Linked DNA regions of Rattus norvegicus. The protein of the gene in region 3 purifies or fractionates together with the protein of the main gene of each other region. This does not show direct contact. Links are inferred from orthologs where the notes say so. Each region holds a gene or a part of one and is shown on either strand. Other genes may lie near its edges.

The links. Proteins that work in one complex are often made in the same cells at the same time.
Region 1: the proteins of Atp6v1a (region 3) and Atp6v1f fractionate together in Homo sapiens (co-fractionation; 3 studies listed by BioGRID and IntAct, with this or other methods). This does not show direct contact. The link is inferred for Rattus norvegicus from reciprocal best matches to the Homo sapiens genes ATP6V1A and ATP6V1F.
Region 2: the proteins of Atp6v1a (region 3) and Atp5f1c fractionate together in Homo sapiens (co-fractionation; 3 studies listed by BioGRID). This does not show direct contact. The link is inferred for Rattus norvegicus from reciprocal best matches to the Homo sapiens genes ATP6V1A and ATP5F1C.

What each region holds. Positions count from the first base shown.
Region 1 is NC_086022.1:59,031,774-59,035,828, forward strand, and holds the start of Atp6v1f (V-type proton ATPase subunit F), read left to right. Parts: upstream 1-1,246; 5' UTR 1,247-1,290; coding exon 1,291-1,448; intron 1,449-3,767; coding exon 3,768-3,969; 3' UTR 3,970-4,055. UniProt on the Homo sapiens protein: Subunit of the V1 complex of vacuolar(H+)-ATPase (V-ATPase), a multisubunit enzyme composed of a peripheral complex (V1) that hydrolyzes ATP and a membrane integral complex (V0) that translocates protons.
Region 2 is NC_086035.1:73,332,290-73,336,493, forward strand, and holds the start of Atp5f1c (ATP synthase subunit gamma, mitochondrial), read left to right. Parts: upstream 1-1,395; 5' UTR 1,396-1,433; coding exon 1,434-1,489; intron 1,490-4,204. Other genes in the region: Kin (DNA/RNA-binding protein KIN17), read right to left, coding at 1,093-1,206.
Region 3 is NC_086029.1:70,094,990-70,098,501, reverse strand, and holds part of Atp6v1a (V-type proton ATPase catalytic subunit A), read right to left. Parts: intron 2,392-3,512; coding exon 2,240-2,391; intron 36-2,239; coding exon 1-35. UniProt on the Homo sapiens protein: Catalytic subunit of the V1 complex of vacuolar(H+)-ATPase (V-ATPase), a multisubunit enzyme composed of a peripheral complex (V1) that hydrolyzes ATP and a membrane integral complex (V0) that translocates protons.

The DNA.
Region 1 (4,055 bases), on a different chromosome or scaffold from region 3:
TGGCCAGTGTGATCCAGACCCTTGTCCTGACTGCCTGCAGAAGACAGTCTCCTTCTGGCTGCCTTCAAATCAAGACATAGACCTCTCGGCTCCTCCAGGACCATGTCTGCCTGCGTGCTGCCATGCTTCCTGCCATTATAGATTAAACCTCTGAACTGTAAGCCAGTCCCAATTAAAGGTAACCTTTGTAAGAGTTACCCTGGTCATGGCATCTCTTCAAATGTGCTGGTGCCCCTCTTACCTGTAACTAAGATGATATTCTAAGCTGGCCTTGAGCTTGTGGCCATCCTCTTGCTTCAAATCCCCTAAATGCTGGGGTTGTTTTTATGTGTTCTCAAATTTAGCAACTAACATGAGGCCTTGCTTGGCTCTCTACAGCACTGCACAGTGTCATTAATCTCTCCATTTCCTTAGTAATTAAATATAGATTCAGTAATCGTTAGCCACATCATAGTTAACGTGCATGTGTACATCATTCAGATTCAGAACTTGACCTTCCAGCTAGGAAATATCCTTTCTTGCGGTAGCCCATGTCCCTAAACCTGGATGAAGGCAAGAGTTCGAACAAACGAATGAAGGGGCAGGAAATACTGGTGCAGCATTCAGGAGGATGAGGCAGTAGGATCACTTGCTGCAAGTTCAAGGCCAACCTGGTCTATATTCTGAGTTCCAGCCAGCAAAGGCAACATATAGAAGATTTCAAAAAAAAAAAAAACTACAAAATAAAACCAAGAAAAGGGGGGAGGGAGTTTGTCTTGGTGGCAGGCACAAGCCTTATATCCTAATACTTGGGAGGCAAATAGTGAGACCTCTCTTTAAAAAGTAATAATAAAATAAATTTTAAAAAAAGCACTGGGTTGACCAGATAAACCCCAAGGAGACTCCCATAGGGTATACTATGACCTCACAAACTTGGGCTCGCTCCACCGCCATCCTGCACTCGCCTCCAAAACCACAAATATAACCAAATATATGTATGTATGTATGTATGTATGTATGTATGTATGTATGTATGTATGTATGTATGTATGTATGTATGTATGTATGTATGTATGTATGTATGTATGTATGTATAGGACAGAATGCTAGCAAGTGGCCTTTGACGCTCAGCCTTCTGGGAGATGTAGTTCTGTGGTTCCCGTCTCTGTGGCGCAGGAGTAAGCGGATTGATCCGAGTTCCTGCTAATGCGCGTGCCCGGGAGGCGGGGGACTGCGCATGACTGAAGGGAGGGGCCGCTGCGGGGGCGGGGCATCACTGCTGTTTGGGGAGCCTTCTGCCGGGCCGACAGGATGGCGGGCAGGGGTAAACTAATCGCAGTGATTGGAGACGAGGACACGGTGACTGGTTTCCTGTTGGGCGGCATAGGGGAGCTTAACAAGAACCGCCACCCTAATTTCCTGGTAGTGGAGAAGGATACCACCATCAATGAAATCGAAGACACTTTCAGGTACGGTAGCCTGTGAGGCCTAAATGGGCTCTTCCGCTTGCACGGGGAGAATTGATGGCCTGTTCACCTGGGTGTCAGGGGTCGATGAGGATCGGGATGGTCCCGGAAGTCGTCTCTCCAGGAGCAGGTGCCTCCGCCGTCTAAGTTCCCTTCTGGGGTCCAGTGGGGCCCGGCCTACGGCAGGTCCATGAGCTCCACATCACATGACTGTGTGTCAGTTTAGAAGAGAGTGGAGCTTGTTATCTGCCCCGGCTGTAATTGGACTCCTGGAGCCTCTGACCAGTGCTGACCGGCACGCTCAGCCCACTTCCGGGGTCCCTGACGCTCACCTGTAGCGCATTCTCTGGACCTTACAGTCTTTTCGACTGTGTCCTAAACAAACCACCTCCAATGTAGGTCCGGGCAGTCAGTGGGCGCGCGCGCGCGCGCGTGTGTGTGTGTGTGTGTGTGTGTACGCTCACAATTGTCCTGTGTGTGTGTGTGTGTACGCTCACAATTGTCCTGTGTGTGTGTGTGTGTGTGTGTGTACGCTCACAATTGTCCTGTGTGTGTGTGTGTGTGTGTGTGTGTGTGTGTGTGTGTGTGTACGCTCACAATTGTCCTGTAAGGTAGTGGTCATTCCCACCTCCAATGTAGGTCCGGGCAGTCAGTGGGCGTGTGTGTGTGTGTGTGTGTGTGTGTGTACGCTTCATTTATTTTAGAGGCTCACAATTGTCCTGTAAGGTAGTGGTCATTCCCACTTACTAGTGAAAAAATAAAGGGCGAATAGGTTAGGGCACAGACCCGAAGACACACCAGCCATAAAAGGCAGAACCCAGGTCAACTCTTTAATTATGGAGTTTGTGTTTGTGTCCGTGGGTAGGCGTGCACACATGGAGGTCAGAAGACAACTTTGTGGAGTCGGTTTTCTTTCCATGGGCTTTGAGGATAGAACTCAAATAACCAGGCTTGCATAGCTCACACCTTTACCTGTGCCTTTCTTAAGCTATTACCTACTCTGTGTATACAGTTCCTTGCAGTCTGCCTTGGGGTTTCCATTTGTCTTTTGACAATGGGCAAAACTTCTGGGAAGTATGACCTTCCACAAAGACCTTTTACTTCAACTCCTCACTTCATGCCCTGGGTCATAGTTTCAAAAAGTGGGTGCAGGCATTGCTTTTAAGCCAAAAAGTGCCCTGTTGACTAGAATTGTGGGTGCCAACTCCCTATTTTTTCCTCTCACTCCTCTTCTAGAACTACTATGCAAATCTCAGGAATAAACTGCCCTCACCTGTTTTCCCTCAATAGCAGAGTCCAGGGATGCCGGCTGAGACTAGTTCCCACAGCCTGGAATGTGGCAGGCTGTGTCCTGGGAGACTGATCTCTAAGGAACCAGTAGTGTGACCTCCGTTGTCACTGGAGGACAGATCTTACTTCTAAGAATTTACCATGTTTCCAACAGGAAGGAATCCTAAAACCAAATCTGTTCCATGCTTGGCACAAAGTTGGTGCCCAGTAAATTATTTCTAATGAGTAAATACATGGTTGAAGGGGCATGCATGTCTGTGTGTGGAGGTGATCACATGAGAGGAAGGCCAGAATGACAGTCTCTGTCTGGAAATAGTGATTCGTTCACTGCTGAGTTTCCTCTTTCCATCTTGCCTTTGGCTCATAGCAGATGTCCTCCTGGTCCATCCCCTTAATCAGCATAGAACTGTAGGCCTTCAGTGGTCTCCTCGACCCTAGCTCTAAACATTCAGTAAAAATCAAAAGATATACATTAAGGAATCACTCTGCTACTCCATCCTTGCATTTTTCTTGATTTCAACCACTATCAATAATAAGAAAAAGGTTTTGTTGTTTTGTTTTATGAGACAGGGTTTGTGTAGCCCCAGCTCTCCTGGAATTACCTCTGCGGACTAGGCTGGTCTTGGTCTTTTTTCTTTTTTGTCTTTCCTTCCTTCCTTCCTTCCTTCCTTCCTTCCTTCCTTCCTTCCCTTCCCTTCCCTTCCCTTCCCTTCCCTTCCCTTCCTCCTTTATTTCTTTCTCTTGGTTTCGTTTTGTTAAGGTTTTTTGTGTTTCTAGACTCTTACACAGATACAAAGGTGCTCATACCCAATTTCCTCGCCTCTGCCTCTCTTCCACGGAGGCAGCATATAGAACACACTGACATGGATCCTGGTCTTCATTACCAGTTCCCTCCATGAGCAAATGTGTGGACTCCAACCCTGATCAGTGTGGTTCTGAGCTCCTGAGTGCAATTGGTTCATCCAAGGAGAGATAAGGTTGAAGGCCTTATGCATGCAGTCACTGTCATTCCCTGCTCTTCTCCCCCAACAGGCAGTTTCTAAACAGGGATGACATCGGCATCATTCTCATCAACCAGTACATCGCAGAGATGGTTCGGCACGCCCTCGATGCCCACCAGAGGTCCATTCCAGCCGTCCTGGAGATCCCGTCCAAGGAGCATCCCTACGACGCAGCCAAAGACTCCATCCTGCGCAGGGCCAAGGGCATGTTCACTGCTGAAGACCTGCGCTAGGGCTGCTCAGCCCTTAACCCTCCTCTCGCTTCCAGGCCTCTCCCAGTTTGCCACCCTCTATTTAAGTTTCAAGCCTTGGTTTCCAG
Region 2 (4,204 bases), on a different chromosome or scaffold from region 3:
AAGAAATGAGTGCAAGTAAGCCAGAGTTTTGAAGCTGGACAGTGGTGGTGCACACCTTTAGTTCCAGACTAAGGAGGCGGACACAGACAGATCTGTATGAGTTCAAAACCAGCCAAGTTCCAGGACAGCCAAGGCTACACAGAGAAACTCTGTCTTGGAAAAACATTGAACTTGGAGCACTGCTTAATAATCAAGCCTCCTGGTCCCCATCACCACCATGAGACCACCAAGAAATTATTAATATGGAGAGGGGTGGTGCTTAATACCAGCACTTGGGAGGCAGAGGCAGGTAGATCTTGTTTGAGGCTAGCCTGGTCTATGAACATGGTGAGTTCCAGACCAGCCAAAGCTACATCGACACTGTGTCCAAAACAAAATAATAAAGTGTGTATCAAATAATGTACAGGACTTTTATTAGGTTTGTTATATTGGTGGTATTTTGACATAAATTGAAATATTAATATGATTACTTGTTATGTTGATCACAATGAAGTTTTCAGGGGTGAAGGTATACTGATAGTTATATAATTTACTCTATTTCAGACAAAAAGGAAATAGGGAAAACCACTTAAGGGGTAACTTCTAGGTGTGATGAACTGCAAACCTGTCCCTTTGGAAATCCATATATTGAAACTCTAGGATAACAATAGCAAGGGGGGTTGGGGTATTTATGTCATGGGGAGTCCCTTGTCTAAAAATATCAAAAAACAAAACAACAAACAAAACAAAACAACAAAAAAGAACCTCAGTGACAACCTTGCAGGTAGGTACAACTATTACCCCTACTTTAGCAGTATTGTCCAAGCCCCTATCACTATTAAGAGGAGAAACTTGAGTTCCTAATCCTGACCCACCCCACCAGGGAAGTCTAAATGTAAAACGTCAATGCTGTACGGAGCCTAGCAAGTGGACGTGTCAGTGCGTGCTTGTCTGGGATCACTTCTCGGGGAGCTGGAGGGCGGCGCTAAGGGCTGTGAGGAAACAGACCTCAGGCGCCGAGCTGAGGAAGACTGAGCCGGAGAGCGCTCAGAGCCGAGGGTACCAGGGTCGCCGTCAGGCCCCTCGGGGTCGCGGCCACCCTGAGCCACTTACCTCGTCGCGGCATTGTTTTTGGCACATCTGGCAGTACCAGCGAAGCTTCTGCAGCCCTTTAGACTTAATTCTATTCGCGATGGCCTTGGGGCTCAGAAAATCTGACTTGCCCATGGCGACCCTGAGAGTACAACAGCGAAGCCGTCGGAAGCGGAACTGGACCCGCGCGCGGATAGGCGGGACCAAAACTGACAGCAGGAAGTGGGTGGGGCCAGGGACCTCGCGGCTTCCGCGCTCACGAGATTTAGCGAGACTGAGGGCGCTAGCGGAGCAGGCCGCTGCTCCCCGAGCTCCCGCGCACGCGCAGTGAGCCTCGTCTGCCCGACCTTCAAGGTTCTACCATGTTCTCGCGGGCGAGTATTGTCGGGCTGTCGGCCTGCTCCTTGCAGCCGCAATGGTATGACTACGCCGGGAGGCATGCCGGGGCTTGGGCTTGCTGCAAGACAGGAGGGATGGGGCTGCATGCTCGCTCCTGGCGGAGGAAGACCCCAGCTCTTGCACGGCCCGGCCACTCGGGCCGCGGCAAGGTCTGCAGAGCTGGAAGGTCGCGTGCCAGTCCCGGGGCTGGGGTCAAAGGGAACAAGGTCACGGCCTGATCCGCTGGGACTGGAACGGCCACCTGGGACCTCAGGACCCGTACGAGAGTCGGATTGAGCGTTGGAGCCATCTGGGTTTCGATCAACTCCGTACTTCCGCTCCGTACTAGGGAGCACATCTTGCAAAGTCTTTAGAAAGGGCCTCAAGGTGAAGGGGAGATCCGGCAGAAAGCCCTAGTTAAGTTGTAACTTTTGTCTTTGACGCCCTGTGAAACACTGCACTGGGGAGTGACCCTTTAAGGTGTGATCGCTTGGTTGAGCTCTTTGGTCTGGCACTCGCTGTGTATCCATCAGGCTCTTTGCTGGTTACTGAAGAAACGAAGGAACTCAAAATCAGCCCCCTCCCGCACTTGCTGGTCGCCTTGGTGCTGAAGGGGCTTAAAAAGATCTGCCGATGTCAACACGCCCTCATGTTGAAGTAAAATCCTTGCAAGGTCATAAAACTGTCCCAAGGTCCCTCGGTAGGAGAAGGAGGCCTTAATAAAATTACATTTGTTAACTGCCATGTGATAAAGGGATAGGGTAAGGTTTAATACTCTCTGTGCAGAGTACAATAAAATTGTATATTAGAATGCCTAGGGATGGACAGATAAAATGTGGTTATGGGTGACATTGTATAATAACATCAACTACTTTGAAGCTAGGTGGCTAGAATTGGTGATAAGATTAACTGTGGACAGTGTTTTAGCGATTCCTTGGTTTTACTGTATGGAATATTAAGGCGCTCCAGCACTAAACTAGGGTTTTGTAAACTAGTTTAGGGAACTGCCACGAACTAGTTGAAATCGTTCTTTCATTAAGCAAAGAATTTGTAGCAATATGCTAAGACTCCAAAGTAGTGAGGAAATTAAATATGATATAAACTATGTATATGAAGAATATTGGCCGGATGGTAGTGGTGGATACCTTTAATCCCAGCACTTGGGAGGCAGAGGCAGGTGGTCTCAGTGCCTTCTAGGTAGTCCTAGTGGACAAAGGGAGTTCCAGAGAAACTCAGTGTGTGTGTGTGTGTGTGTGTGTGTGTGTGTGGCGGGGGGTGTGTGTTAGATTAACCTTGAGTCTAACCTCAGGTTGGGTTACTTAACTGTGGAGGTCAACAGCAGTTGAATTCTCAGCAGACATTTGTGGAGTGCCTGCCCTGCACCAGTTGGCCCGGCACAGGTGTTAAGATGTGAAGGGTCTTTGAGCTTCTGGGAAAGTTGGTGACATCCGGTGCTGCTCAGCAGACACGAGCTCTTTCCAGAGTGTGTATATACAGTGTGTAAAAAGACGATTCTGTTGTCAAGTGTAGTTGAGGCCATTGTCAGCATTTGATAAACTTCAAACGTTTCCTGAGTTAGCTAATGCTAGGTGTTTTCCTTAATTCTATGTGCAGCCTTACACACTCCCAACATTCCTTCTAGACTGCTAATTCGTTCATAGGCATCGATCCCGATTCCTTCCTATACTGACTTGAAGTCTTCAAATAACACTGTACGATCAGAGATGCTGAAACTTACCCACGGTCCACCTGCTTCTCCATCAGCATGTTTGGTGTTGCCAGCTTTCTGTTCTAGCCTCCTCAGATGAGTCGGGACATGATGTAGTAGCTGACCCTTTGTCCTCTCAGTGTGGACTCCTCTCAGTGTGAAATTCAGTAGTGTAGATTGTCCTAAAGGCTCAAAGGGGGGGCCCAAGAGGTACACGCTTGACATCCTGAATCCGGTTCTAGCTCCCTAGACACACAGTTGAAGGAGAGAGGCAACTCCCAAAATTTGTCCTTTGACTTCTCCCCTTGAGACTCAACATTCCGTATTTATATTTTGCCCCATAATATTTTTAGGCAGTCAGGTACCTCACGGCCATTCAGTGATTGAGTGGTATGTGGTCTTGAGCTTGAAGTGGTAGCATGCACTGCACAGAGGGAAGACATTTCCTTGATAGACCACAGACTCAGAATGTAAAAACAAAAGCATCATATCAATCCAAATACAGTGTGCGGTTCACACTGTATCCATGCAGTATTCCGTTATGAGGAGGCCGTGTCGGTTCAAGTGAAGCACGTGCCTAAAAAGACTCGCAGTAAATCAGGAGCATTTGGGTAGCACCGTTGAGGAGAGGGAAAAAGCGAAGCAGCTCAGTGTTGTTACCTCTGTTGTGCCATTTCTAGAAGGGATTGAGAGAACGACCACCATCCAAGAGCTGGTGTGCTGACATGGTTTGTCATATATTCCAACTTTGACCTTTTCTATATTTTTACCACCAAACCTGGTATTTTCTGTATAGTCTGTTATTTTTCTTTCTCTATGCCTAAGTAGTACCAGAATCAAAATATGTAAGTCAAGGGGCTGGGGATTTAGCTCAGTGGTAGAGCGCTTACCTAGGAAGCGCAAGGCCCTGGGTTCGGTCCCCAGCTCCGAAAAAAAAGAACCAAAAAAAAAAAAATATGTAAGTCAAAACTTTGGGGTTTGTTTGTTTGGACTGGGGGCTTTTAATTTTTTCTAGTGCTAGGGCCTTGAACATGGCAGGCAAATGCT
Region 3 (3,512 bases):
CACCTGGAATAGCAGTAGTTCCTCCCTGAACACACCTGAAGGGCAACAGAACAAAAATCAGAAGAAATGTTTATTATGCTGTTGGCTTGCTAATGTATGCTGCTAAACAAAGTAGGTAACTGATAGAAAAATACCTGTAAGGTAATTACTCTGAAACATTTCTATACACGCAGAACATACTGTCATAATTATTGGCAACTCCTTTGTGCCTAACAGCATGTTTTAAGGTGGATGTAAACCAGGTGTGACGCGGCATGCCTTTTATCTCGGCACTCAGGACGCAGAGGCAGGTGGATCTCTGTGAGTTTGAGGCCAGCTTGCTCTACATGGTGAGTTCCAGGACAGCCAGCGTTACATGGATTAAGCAAGTCTTTAACAAAAGAAAGATGGACGTGGCAGTTATGCCTATATTCCCAGCATTTGGGAGGCTGAGGCAGTAGGATTACCCATGAATTGAAGGCTAGCTTAAATTACATAGCATCCCAGGCAAGTCTGAGGTACAGAGTGACATAGTATCCTGAAGTAACAAAAGACAACTTAGCACGTGTTTTCTTCTGATTAGCCATCGTTATCACGTACAGTGGGTGGAAAGTGGAAGTGTGCTCCATAAGACACCGAGGAAGGGTCTTCAGAAGCCATATGAACGCAGGCAGGTAATAAAATAGCCTGAATGACATTCCTGCTTGCACAAGTCTGTTCACTGAAGAACACAAGTGCATCTCCTTCATAAGGGGTAGAGAAGGGCCTAGGAAACTTACATCTTGTCATAAAGTTCAGTTTAGTCAGGAAGAGTAATAAGGCCACCCTGAAAGAGCCCAGGTCTGAAGGAGGGCAGAGTATACTTACAGGAGGGAGACCTAAGAAATACTCAAGCTTATAGGAGTAGGGAACAGGGGAGAACAGGGTGTCCATGTCAAGGCAATACTCAAAGCTGTGACAAATTAAAAATGTATTGTTCGGTTCAAGAGACCAGCAATGCTAAGGGCAGGACAGAGCTCCCATGGGTTAGAGGAGAAGCACCGGTGTCATGTGTATTCCTCAGGAGTTTACCATGACAAGACTGCAGGGACACGTAGAAAGGATAAACTCTAACACTGGCCGCTCCTCTCCTCTTCCCTTCCTTTCTCTCTCACTAGACAGGAGACTTATGAAAAGAGGCAGAAGAGGGAGACACACTTGAGGAACCCAGATATGTAATGAACCCCAAAAGGGGAAAGAGAGAGGAGGGAGGTGGAGCTTCATAGTGCCTGATTTCTCAGTGAAGAAGAAACGAGAAGGAGGAGACGTGGAGTTGAGCATCTGAACTACACAGAGAAGCATGAAGCAGCCGCAAGGCCAGCAGACAATTATAGTGGGGGAAGGGCTGCCATGGCAGTGTGGTCAGAAATCAATTTCTCGGATCATCTGGTTGCTCTCAGTGGCGTGTGCAAAGCAGAAGGGAACAGCTGGACGGCTCCACAGTTGGAATTTCGCCAGGTGAGTTCTGGCAAAAAACAAAGTTTTATTATACCACTAGGAACTACTCCTAAGTTTCAGTCTGTGGAGTATATTCTGAATAATGGACACAGACAGGAGGCAATGAGCACAGAAGAAGTCAAAGCACAGAGGTCTCTTCGGGAAAGAAACAGGGAGAGCTCCCCAAAGAGCCAGCTTCAGTGAGAGTGCAGGGGAGGCTGCTCAGCTCAGCTAGGTGGCAGGGGCCTGCTTGGCCAGTGGGAGGCACTGACTTTAATGATAAATTTATAGTGATTCAAGGTTGAACAGAAACCAGGCATTAAACGATGAGGTCATTGTAGAAAATACAGCGGCATACAGTAAAGCCACGTGTCTAACAAAAGACAGTAAAATTTTCTAAGCCAAGAAAACAGAAAAGAGCACACTATAAATTACTACCCGTGACAGCATACGGAGTCCATTTGACTTTAGAAATTAACGATTTACAGCAATGCCAATTTATTAATTCTAGGACAACTTAAAGTTACTTATATGCTTTGTCACAGATAGTCTTTTGGAAATTTTATTTTTCAGGAAGTTTTTTTTAAATACAATGTTGTTCGGGACTATAGAGGAAAAACCTTTGCCTCTTAATTATTGGCAACAGATGTAACTAATTCATCATACTTGCCCTAGATAAAACCTATCGCTGTATTTAATACAGAGAACTCATATCTGCAAGGATTACGAAAAGGCTGGTGCACATGATACCTTGGGGGCAGACAGTGGGAGACAGCAAACTTACGGGAAAAGGGCATCGAGCACTCTCTGGCCAGTAAGCAAGGGGTGGTTGGCTGGCAGCTTTTCAGTGACAGGCCGCACCTGACGCACAGGCCACACTTGGACCATGCTCAACTTCTCCTTCACACCTTCAAATTCAAGCTCCAGGACGACATCCTGTTAAAACACACAAATGTAAGGCAGTAAAACTTTAAGGGTGGCTAAGTCTGTGAGTCACTCTTCTTCCAAAACCCAAGTAAGTAAGCTCAGGTTACTCTCGTGGATAGAAGGCTGATTTTATAAGAAGGGAGGTGTATAGTTCTTGTTATGTGTCTTTACATATAGTCATACTTCTTTATACTGGGTGCATCACCATCTCACTGACTAATATAAAGTATGGTAGGAAGTCTTTGGAAGGAGCACATCAAGTAATAAAGAGCTACATAAATTGAACAAGCACGACAGGTAAGTCTTAAAGGCTATACATGTTCCCTGGATTAGGGAAAAGTGGAAGGAAGTGTGAACTTACCTTTCTCCCTTTTTCATTATCACAATCATATTGCTCTAATTTAGAAATACATTCTAAGAGTCCCAAAATATTATTATTTTTATTTTTTGTTAATATTTTTAAAAGGAAGTGATAATATAACAACATCTATGAACTGTTTAAACCACTCACAAGTAACTCCAAATTCCAGAAGAAATCTGTAGTCTGGTTAATATGAATGGTCTGTTCCAGGGCAAGTCCTCCATTTAGAATGAGCAAGTCTCTAAGCTAGTGAACAAGTCTAGACAGCTGTTGTAGAATCTCAAACTGACAAGTGTTCTCTACATGTTATAAAGCACACATTTTTGTAAATACTTTTGAAAAACTGCTTATTGCATTTTACTATGGGGACATTACATGTTATCATGGATTTCTCAATAAAATTATATGCCTATTTAGAAACTGCTACAACTCTATTGTCTGACACTCTGCGACTATAGGTAAAATAAACTAAGTTACAAATGATACACTCAAGTAAGAACTCATATAATCTACTATATAATTAATTATGTGAATCCTGATTGACAGTTAAAAAATCATGTTTATTCTAAGCCTGCTGAATGAGATATAGGCAAACCCATCAGTTAAGAAGCTAGGAAATGTCATATTTCTTTTTAAAAAGGTATATTCTTGTTCTTGTATGCTCAAGTCCAGGTCTAAACAAAATTACCCTTAAAAATGGCATAGCTCAGTGGGAGTGAGTGCCTAGCATATGAGCCTCTGGATCTGTTCCCTATCATCATGAAAATAA